Linked DNA regions of Saccharomyces cerevisiae S288C. The protein of the gene in region 2 interacts with the protein of the main gene of each other region in a biochemical or structural test. Each region holds a gene or a part of one and is shown on either strand. Other genes may lie near its edges.

The links. The genes of interacting proteins can lie anywhere in the genome.
Region 1: of the proteins of RPS20 (region 2) and HEL2, one has a biochemical effect on the other in vitro, tested with the Saccharomyces cerevisiae proteins (3 studies listed by BioGRID).

The regions. Positions count from the first base shown.
Region 1 is NC_001136.10:999,145-1,003,802, reverse strand, and holds HEL2 (E3 ubiquitin-protein ligase HEL2), read left to right. Parts: upstream 1-1,779; coding exon 1,780-3,699; downstream 3,700-4,658. Other genes in the region: iron-sulfur cluster assembly protein CIA1, read left to right, coding at 301-1,293; PEX10 (ubiquitin-protein ligase peroxin 10), read right to left, coding at 3,926-4,658. UniProt on the Saccharomyces cerevisiae protein: E3 ubiquitin-protein ligase that plays a key role in the ribosome quality control (RQC), a pathway that takes place when a ribosome has stalled during translation, leading to degradation of nascent peptide chains.
Region 2 is NC_001140.6:73,375-76,800, forward strand, and holds RPS20 (40S ribosomal protein uS10 RPS20), read left to right. Parts: upstream 1-2,037; coding exon 2,038-2,403; downstream 2,404-3,426. Other genes in the region: DUR3 (Dur3p), read right to left, coding at 1-870; YHL015W-A (uncharacterized protein), read left to right, coding at 1,325-1,408; YLF2 (Ylf2p), read right to left, coding at 2,723-3,426. UniProt on the Saccharomyces cerevisiae protein: Component of the ribosome, a large ribonucleoprotein complex responsible for the synthesis of proteins in the cell.

The sequences.
Region 1 (4,658 bases), on a different chromosome or scaffold from region 2:
GATCTTCAAGAAAAGGTCATACTAATTGTAGAAACGTTTGAATTTAAGGAATCTGACTCTGATGTGCATAGCAGTGTTACTACTATTTATTTTCTTGAAAAATACCATCGTGATTGCCTTCAAATAGGTCATCTAAAACTTTCTGCTCTCAGCGGGCCGTGTTTTGAAAAATCTCACATCGAATATTGTATCGTCTTTGCCTCATTAATTGCGAATAAATACTAGATTTGTAGATATCACAAATCAAAATCGGGCTATACCACGACATTTTAATAGTTCAATTGGTTTACTTATTTGGTAATGGCGTCTATCAATCTGATTAAGTCTTTGAAACTTTACAAGGAAAAGATATGGTCTTTTGACTTTTCTCAAGGTATATTAGCAACAGGTTCAACTGATCGAAAAATTAAGCTAGTTAGCGTGAAATATGACGATTTTACGTTAATTGATGTGCTAGATGAGACTGCTCATAAAAAGGCGATTCGATCTGTGGCGTGGAGACCTCACACTTCGCTGTTAGCGGCTGGCTCTTTTGATTCCACTGTATCTATCTGGGCTAAGGAAGAATCTGCTGACAGAACTTTCGAGATGGACCTGCTAGCTATTATCGAAGGTCACGAAAATGAAGTAAAAGGTGTAGCGTGGTCGAATGATGGATATTACCTAGCAACCTGTTCCAGAGATAAAAGCGTGTGGATATGGGAAACAGATGAAAGTGGCGAGGAATATGAGTGTATTAGTGTTTTGCAAGAACATTCACAAGACGTTAAACATGTTATATGGCATCCATCTGAAGCATTACTGGCTTCAAGTTCTTATGATGACACCGTCAGGATATGGAAAGACTATGACGATGACTGGGAATGTGTTGCTGTCTTAAATGGCCATGAAGGAACTGTTTGGTCTTCTGATTTTGACAAGACTGAGGGCGTGTTTAGACTGTGCAGTGGAAGCGACGATTCCACTGTACGGGTATGGAAATACATGGGTGACGACGAGGATGATCAACAAGAATGGGTTTGTGAAGCTATTCTCCCGGATGTACACAAAAGACAGGTATACAATGTTGCATGGGGCTTTAATGGCCTCATTGCTAGTGTAGGAGCGGATGGAGTACTAGCGGTCTATGAAGAAGTAGACGGAGAATGGAAAGTTTTTGCTAAACGTGCATTATGTCATGGAGTTTATGAAATCAACGTTGTGAAGTGGTTGGAGTTAAATGGTAAAACTATACTTGCAACAGGCGGTGACGACGGGATCGTAAATTTCTGGTCTCTAGAAAAAGCAGCGTAGATGTAGAAGCAAGAGTACAATTCAGGAACTCATATTAACACAGTGATCGATCTGAATTCTAAAAATAAACTTAATGACGATTTTTCTACCTAGTTACATAAACCTTTGTATCACTATAACGCAATTCTGTCATGTGTGACGGAGTGACCTCGTTATACATATCCCTGCATTAAAAGCATGCGGTAAAAACTGAAATTTAAAAATGAAAAAAAAAAAAATTAGATATTCGGAAGACTTGTAATTAAGCATTATCTCGAATAAAGAAAGGTTACACTGAAAGTTTCATACTCGCGGTCACTCTTAATAATAGCTATATTTTCTGATTTTCTCTTAAGATTTTGAAAAGGGCATCTGAACGACTGCCCACTCAGCCATATTCAACAAATCGTCGAGCGCATACCTAGCTGAAAAAGATCCATAAAGTGCATTTTGATACAGTCTCTTTCGTCGAAAAAATAGTGGCTATACTTCTTTTCAAGAATTAGGATGAGCGAATCAGTGAAAGAAAACGTTACTCCGACACGTAACTTCCGTCGTACTCAAGGGCCCCAAAATAATACAAAACCTCACAACGACAGGAAGAATTTCAGAAGAAAGCAAAAGAAAAATAACCTTTCTGCTGAACCCAACCTCACCACTTCAAGCGCAGATGATACTGATGAAGAAAATGAATTATGTGTAATTTGTGCGCGCAAGTTAACATACGTATCTCTAACACCATGCCATCATAAGACATGCCATATCTGTGGTTTCAGACAACGAGCTTTGTACAACAAGAAAAGCTGTTTGATTTGCAGAACGGAGAATGAAGAAGTCATGTTTACCGATCGCATAGATGGTGATATTTCAGATAAATATAACTTTTGCGAAAAAAATGAAAAATATGGAATAAATTTCACTAGCGAAGAGGTTGCTACCGAAACACTAAATCTTTTAAAATTTTTTTGTCCCCTATCGAAGGATGAACAAGTTTGTGACTTTGGTAGTTTCAAGAAATATAATGAACACTTGAAATCTGAACATAACAGAATGATCTGTTTAATATGTGCAACCCATAAGCATGCATTCCCTTGTGAGCTTGAAATATTCACCCAAAATCAATTACGCAACCATCAAACTAAGGGTAATTCAGAAGGATTCAAAGGCCACCCTATGTGTGCCTTCTGTTCCGGAAAACGATTTTATTCAGACGACGAATTGTACATTCACATGAGAAATCAGCATGAAAAGTGCCATATTTGTGATAAGATGAACCCCGCTTCTCCTCAATACTTTAAGGATTATAATCAGCTTTTTGACCACTTTAAACATTCGCATTACGTTTGCACCGTCCAAACTTGCTTAGATAACAAGTTTGTCGTATTTAAAGACGAGTTGGAGTTACAAGCCCACATTTTGCAGGAGCATGGTAATATCCTGAAGGGAAAGCCAAAGTTTTTCCAGTCAGAACTTTCTACTTTTATCTCGGCTCCATCTAGAGTGATCAGGGAAAGAGATGATTACGACCTTCCATCTATATCTTCCCTACCGGGTTCATCATCCGGCTCTAGAACTGATGTGAGATCTGCTAGTTCTCCCGAGGAAAGTAGACTAAGATTGGCAGAAAGAGCAAAATACTATCTGGAAAATTCCAAAGAAGACTTCAATAAGTTTTCTTCTTATAACGAAGATTATTCTAAAGGTCGCTTAAGTGCTGAAAAATTATTGGAATCATATAAATTGTTATTCACAAAACCAAATGCGGATGTATATTTATTGATTCATAACTTAGCTGAAACCTTTCCCAAAAACTCCTCCAAATACAATAATCTGAACGCCATATATGAACAAAGAGAGCAAACCCTTGCACGACAAACTTCACTACCTTCTTTATCTAGTGATTCTTCCCTTTCAATGTCAATAGGCAGGGGCCATTGGGGTGGAACAAACGATGGGGGCAGCGCTGGTGCAGCATTAGGCGTTAGGAATATCAAAAATCTTCCAACCCTGAAAAGTCCTTCAGCGTCGTATGATCCCTTTGCAACCACCGTAAAAAAAAACACTCTGAGACCCGTGCAAAACATTAAAAGAACTACACCTCAATCAGTTAGTTATCGAACTTCCACTAATACAGTCGCCTTCTCTCCAACCTATTTGGAAAGTAAAAAGGGTTCCTCTTCTACTTCTCTAAATAATAGCAAAGATAAATTGAAAAGTCTCAACCTACCTCAACTACCTCCACCAAAGCCAAAGGTGCAAATTCCAGGTCTGAACAGACCCCAAATTGCTGATCCTAAGCAGTGGGGTAAAAAGTCAAGCACACAAGATACTAACGTGCACGATAATTTGAGGGAATTGAACACAACTAGTGGAGGAAATAAAAAGAAAGGCAAACAAAAGCAGCTGTTATTCCACATTGGTGTATAGTTGGAAATATATTTCTAACCTGTAACTGACAATAGCATTAGAGAAATGAAAGTCTTAAATAAAATTCCGATAAAGAAAAACTTATTTAATTAATTAATATAATTACAAGACTAAAAAGCATTATTTCCCCTTCGCGTTTTACTTCTCCTGCTCAGACGTCTGCGTTATTTCTGAAAAAGGCCTGTGGACAATGCTAAAAGAGTAGTCAAATTATTGATTAGTTCCTCTATTGCCGCAGGACCAGAATTTCCTGTGGTTGACAGTGTTGTCTGCACAAGGGGCATTCTGGCCTCTCTTTACACCAGCTCATAAGACAACTCCAACAAAATAGATGTCCACATGGCGCGCAGCTAGGATCACTCATGTTCATGAGACATAGGATGCATTTTCTCGAGGCTTCTGGAATAAATGGCAATTGGTTTTTATCTGACAAATTTATATGAGTCAGCTGCGATTCCTTCGGTATGCCTTCTATAGATTCATGTTCTGAACGCTCCTGTAGACCAACAGACGACCTAGTAATTGAATCATTGGTCCTTTTTCTCCCATAAATCCAGGACCCGAGCGTAGAGGTTAGGACAGGGTACCATTTCATAACATTTTGAGCTAATAGGATATAACCTAATACTTTGTACTTTTGTGAGCCCTCTTCTCTAAAATTGGCCTCATTTTTTGACAATATATGTTTAAAAACATATCTCATACCAAAAATCCTTTTGGAAATACTGTAAAAAGCTCCTTTGAAATAAAAGAGGGTCATGTGTACGTCTAAAATGAAATCTAAAAGGCCCTTACAAAACGCGGCAACACTTTCAGTATCTTCAATTTTACTTTCCTTGTTGTTCTTCATTATTTTCTTGTATAGTTTGGTGATGAAATATGGACATAAAGGATAAGCGAAAGCGAATACAATCATTTTGAGCCGTCCTGCAAGTCTGGTACCCTTCCTATTAGTGTAT
Region 2 (3,426 bases):
TGCTTTCAAACTCGCTGCGGGACTAGCAGAAATCGCTTTATTCCAATAACCATTATCAAGGAAAACGGTGCCGAAATTTCCAATCAGGTTAATAATTAATAAAATACCAGCGGATTTGGATGTCATGGTCATATATTCACCCTGATAGTTACCGTCTACTGGATGCCTCTTGGCGGCTTCACGAACTAAGTCATAAACTTTTCCCGGTGAGCCTAAAACATCACTAGTCGCATAAACTTTAAAGGCAAATACGAGGACAATGATGATAATGACACATGTGTGCATATAGTCCGTTAAGAAAGTTGCTTTAATCCCACCAAATAGAGTATAAACAACAACACCCACAGGCAGTAAAAAACATGATGCGATAGTGTTCATCCCGGTTAAATCACTAAAGACAGCAGAACCTGAAGTTAAAAGCATTGAAGTGACTAAAATATTCGTCGCGATGGCATAAAACAAGTAGCAACCATGGCCGATCTTACCATATCTTGTTCTCACTAATTCTAAATATGTGTGCGCATTGGGAGCCATTTGCTTGGTTTTAATTGCCAAAATTGCGAATGCAATAATTTGGAAGCATGCGCCAGCAGCGTACGCATAACCGCCAAATATACCGTCTGCATATTCCTTTGTTGACGACGTTAACAATGTAGAACACCAGATCCAACTAGAAACCACGGCTGCAGCCACTAAGCCGGTTTTTACAGATCTACCGGCGGTGGTGAATTCTTCTGCTGTGATGATTTCCTTTTGATAACGTTTCAGTAAATAAGTGGTCAAAACCATCATTCCTGCAAATACGGCCCCTAGGCCCAATACAATAGCGTACCCAGCGCCTTGAGGTAGCGGAGGTTTAAATTCTCCCATACTATAACAATGACAAATTTATGTTATTACTTTTTCTTGGATGAACCCAATTTAAGAATCTAGACAAGGGAAACTGCTAACAATAGTAAAGCTACGGCTATACTACTGCTTCATTTTATATACTTGGCGAACAAGACGTATCTTCATGCAACACCGATGAATAGAGCACATCTTGCCTGTTATCTAAGGATAACCGTACCGTAGAAAGCGCAATGATGAGTTACACCTTTCCCATAGGTACGCCTGCTTGTTTCTATGCTGCAACTGACTATTGGCCTGTCCACTCTCGAGCATTATTGTCTGTCGCATTTGCTATCATAAAATATCCCGATAAGATAACACCCAAATGTGCGCCGCCTCATTTCATCATCGGAAAAAAGGTGCGGCACCAATAGATAAACAGAATTGGAATGCCTAGTTTGAGTCAGCCTTGCTGCATAAAACAAATACCTGTATGACTGCTTTTGCATCTTTAAGAGAACCTTTGGTCTTGGCTAATCTCAAAATTAAAGTTCATATCTACCGTATGAAGCGCTGATAAAGAGCGCCAAATCTGCACCTTGTGCATTTTGTTCACACATTCTTGGCGCTCCTAACTGGAGAAACGTCTATCATTGAGGATAACTCCGGATAGTCGCATTCTGATTGAATAGCCGTCTAGCTCCCTATTGTGACTAGAATACTATTGACATCGTTTTCTCATCAAAACCTCCCGATAAAGGGAAAAAAAGAATTATCTGACCAGATCATTCGGAAAAATGCGTATCGTCATTGATATCCTTCTTGTCTTGTCTGCTGCTAACACTATTTACTATGGAAAGAGAGATTTCCCTGAAACTTCTTATTTTTATCTCTATAGAAGGGGAAAAGATAAAAGTAAAAATGTAAAAATGTTTACCTGCAAGTTCACACCTGTACATTTTCTACATCCGTAAACATAAGAGAAAAAATGCCACAACTATTTTTATGAAGATAAAGTTCGGGTAACGATAATGTTTTAATTTTGAAAAAAAAACTTCGACGCATTCGCGACTAGCCTCAGAGATTGAGTAATAGACCGTATTGAATTCAAAATAATAGTAAAGATGGGTTATTTCATTCAAGCTCAGCTTTAGATTGAAACTCCTACAAGAAAGCAAGTAAAATAAACAAAAAGGTATATACAAAATGTCTGACTTTCAAAAGGAAAAGGTTGAAGAACAAGAACAACAACAACAACAAATCATCAAGATTAGAATCACTTTGACCTCCACCAAGGTTAAGCAATTGGAAAACGTCTCTTCCAACATTGTCAAGAACGCTGAACAACACAACTTGGTCAAGAAGGGTCCAGTCAGACTACCAACCAAGGTTTTGAAGATCTCCACCAGAAAGACTCCAAATGGTGAAGGTTCTAAGACTTGGGAAACCTACGAAATGAGAATCCACAAGAGATACATCGACTTGGAAGCTCCTGTTCAAATCGTTAAGAGAATCACTCAAATCACCATTGAACCTGGTGTGGATGTCGAAGTTGTTGTTGCTTCCAACTAAGCTGGTTCTAACTGGAAATAATTTCCATTAGATTCCTCTTTTTCTCGTCCATTAACCAAAATATATTATTGAATTCAGCGGTTCCTTTTTTCTCATTTTCGCATATAGCTGCACTATTAGAATCAGCCCACTCTAGGTAAACACAGTTCCTCGATATACCTCTGTCTTACTATCAGTGGTTAAACCTTATGCAAATATAATATATATATATATATATATATATATATCTCATACTTTTGTTGATTCTTGTGTAATTATTGGAAAAGACAAAACAAAGCAAGCGTTTCTATTCATATTTACAAGTATTTTTTATGACAAACTATTTCTTAATTTTCCCACCGGCGGCTTTGAATAAGGCAATGTCATTGTCCTGCATAATATATTGTTTGCCTGCACGTTTGATAAGTCCCTTAGATTTTAGTAAAGACTCATTTAGCGGTGGTTCCATCTTCTTCAGATCGTCATATTTTATTACATCAGCGCTGATAAATGTTTCACGCAAGTCGCTATGGATTACACCCGCGGCCTCTTGAGCGGTGGTTCCCTCCCTTATATTCCATTGGTGAACTTCTTGTGGGCCGCATGTAAAGAAGCTAATTAAGTTCAACAACTTTCTCATTTCTAGTATTATTTGCGGTATCGCAGAAACTAACTGTTGATCAGAAACATTGGTATCTTCCTTGATCTTGTCAAAATACTCTGACGCTATGCCTTTACATTCCATCAATTGCGATTCAAATTCTGCACTGAAAAGTAGGAATTTATCTCCTGGCGAAAATTCGTTAATCCATTCTATAATATTTCTGACAAATTTATTTTCATTCCTAACGTAATCTTGAGGTGAAACATTTAGCAATATCAAAGTTGGTTTGGAGGTTAAAAAGTTATGCTTATTCAAAATTTTGACTTCATCCAGGTTCCAATGATCTTTGAAATGCCGGATTTTTTTACCGTTAAACAAATGTTCCTCTAATGCATCTAATAATTCTGTCTCTATCTTCATTTCCTGATGTTCTTTAGAAT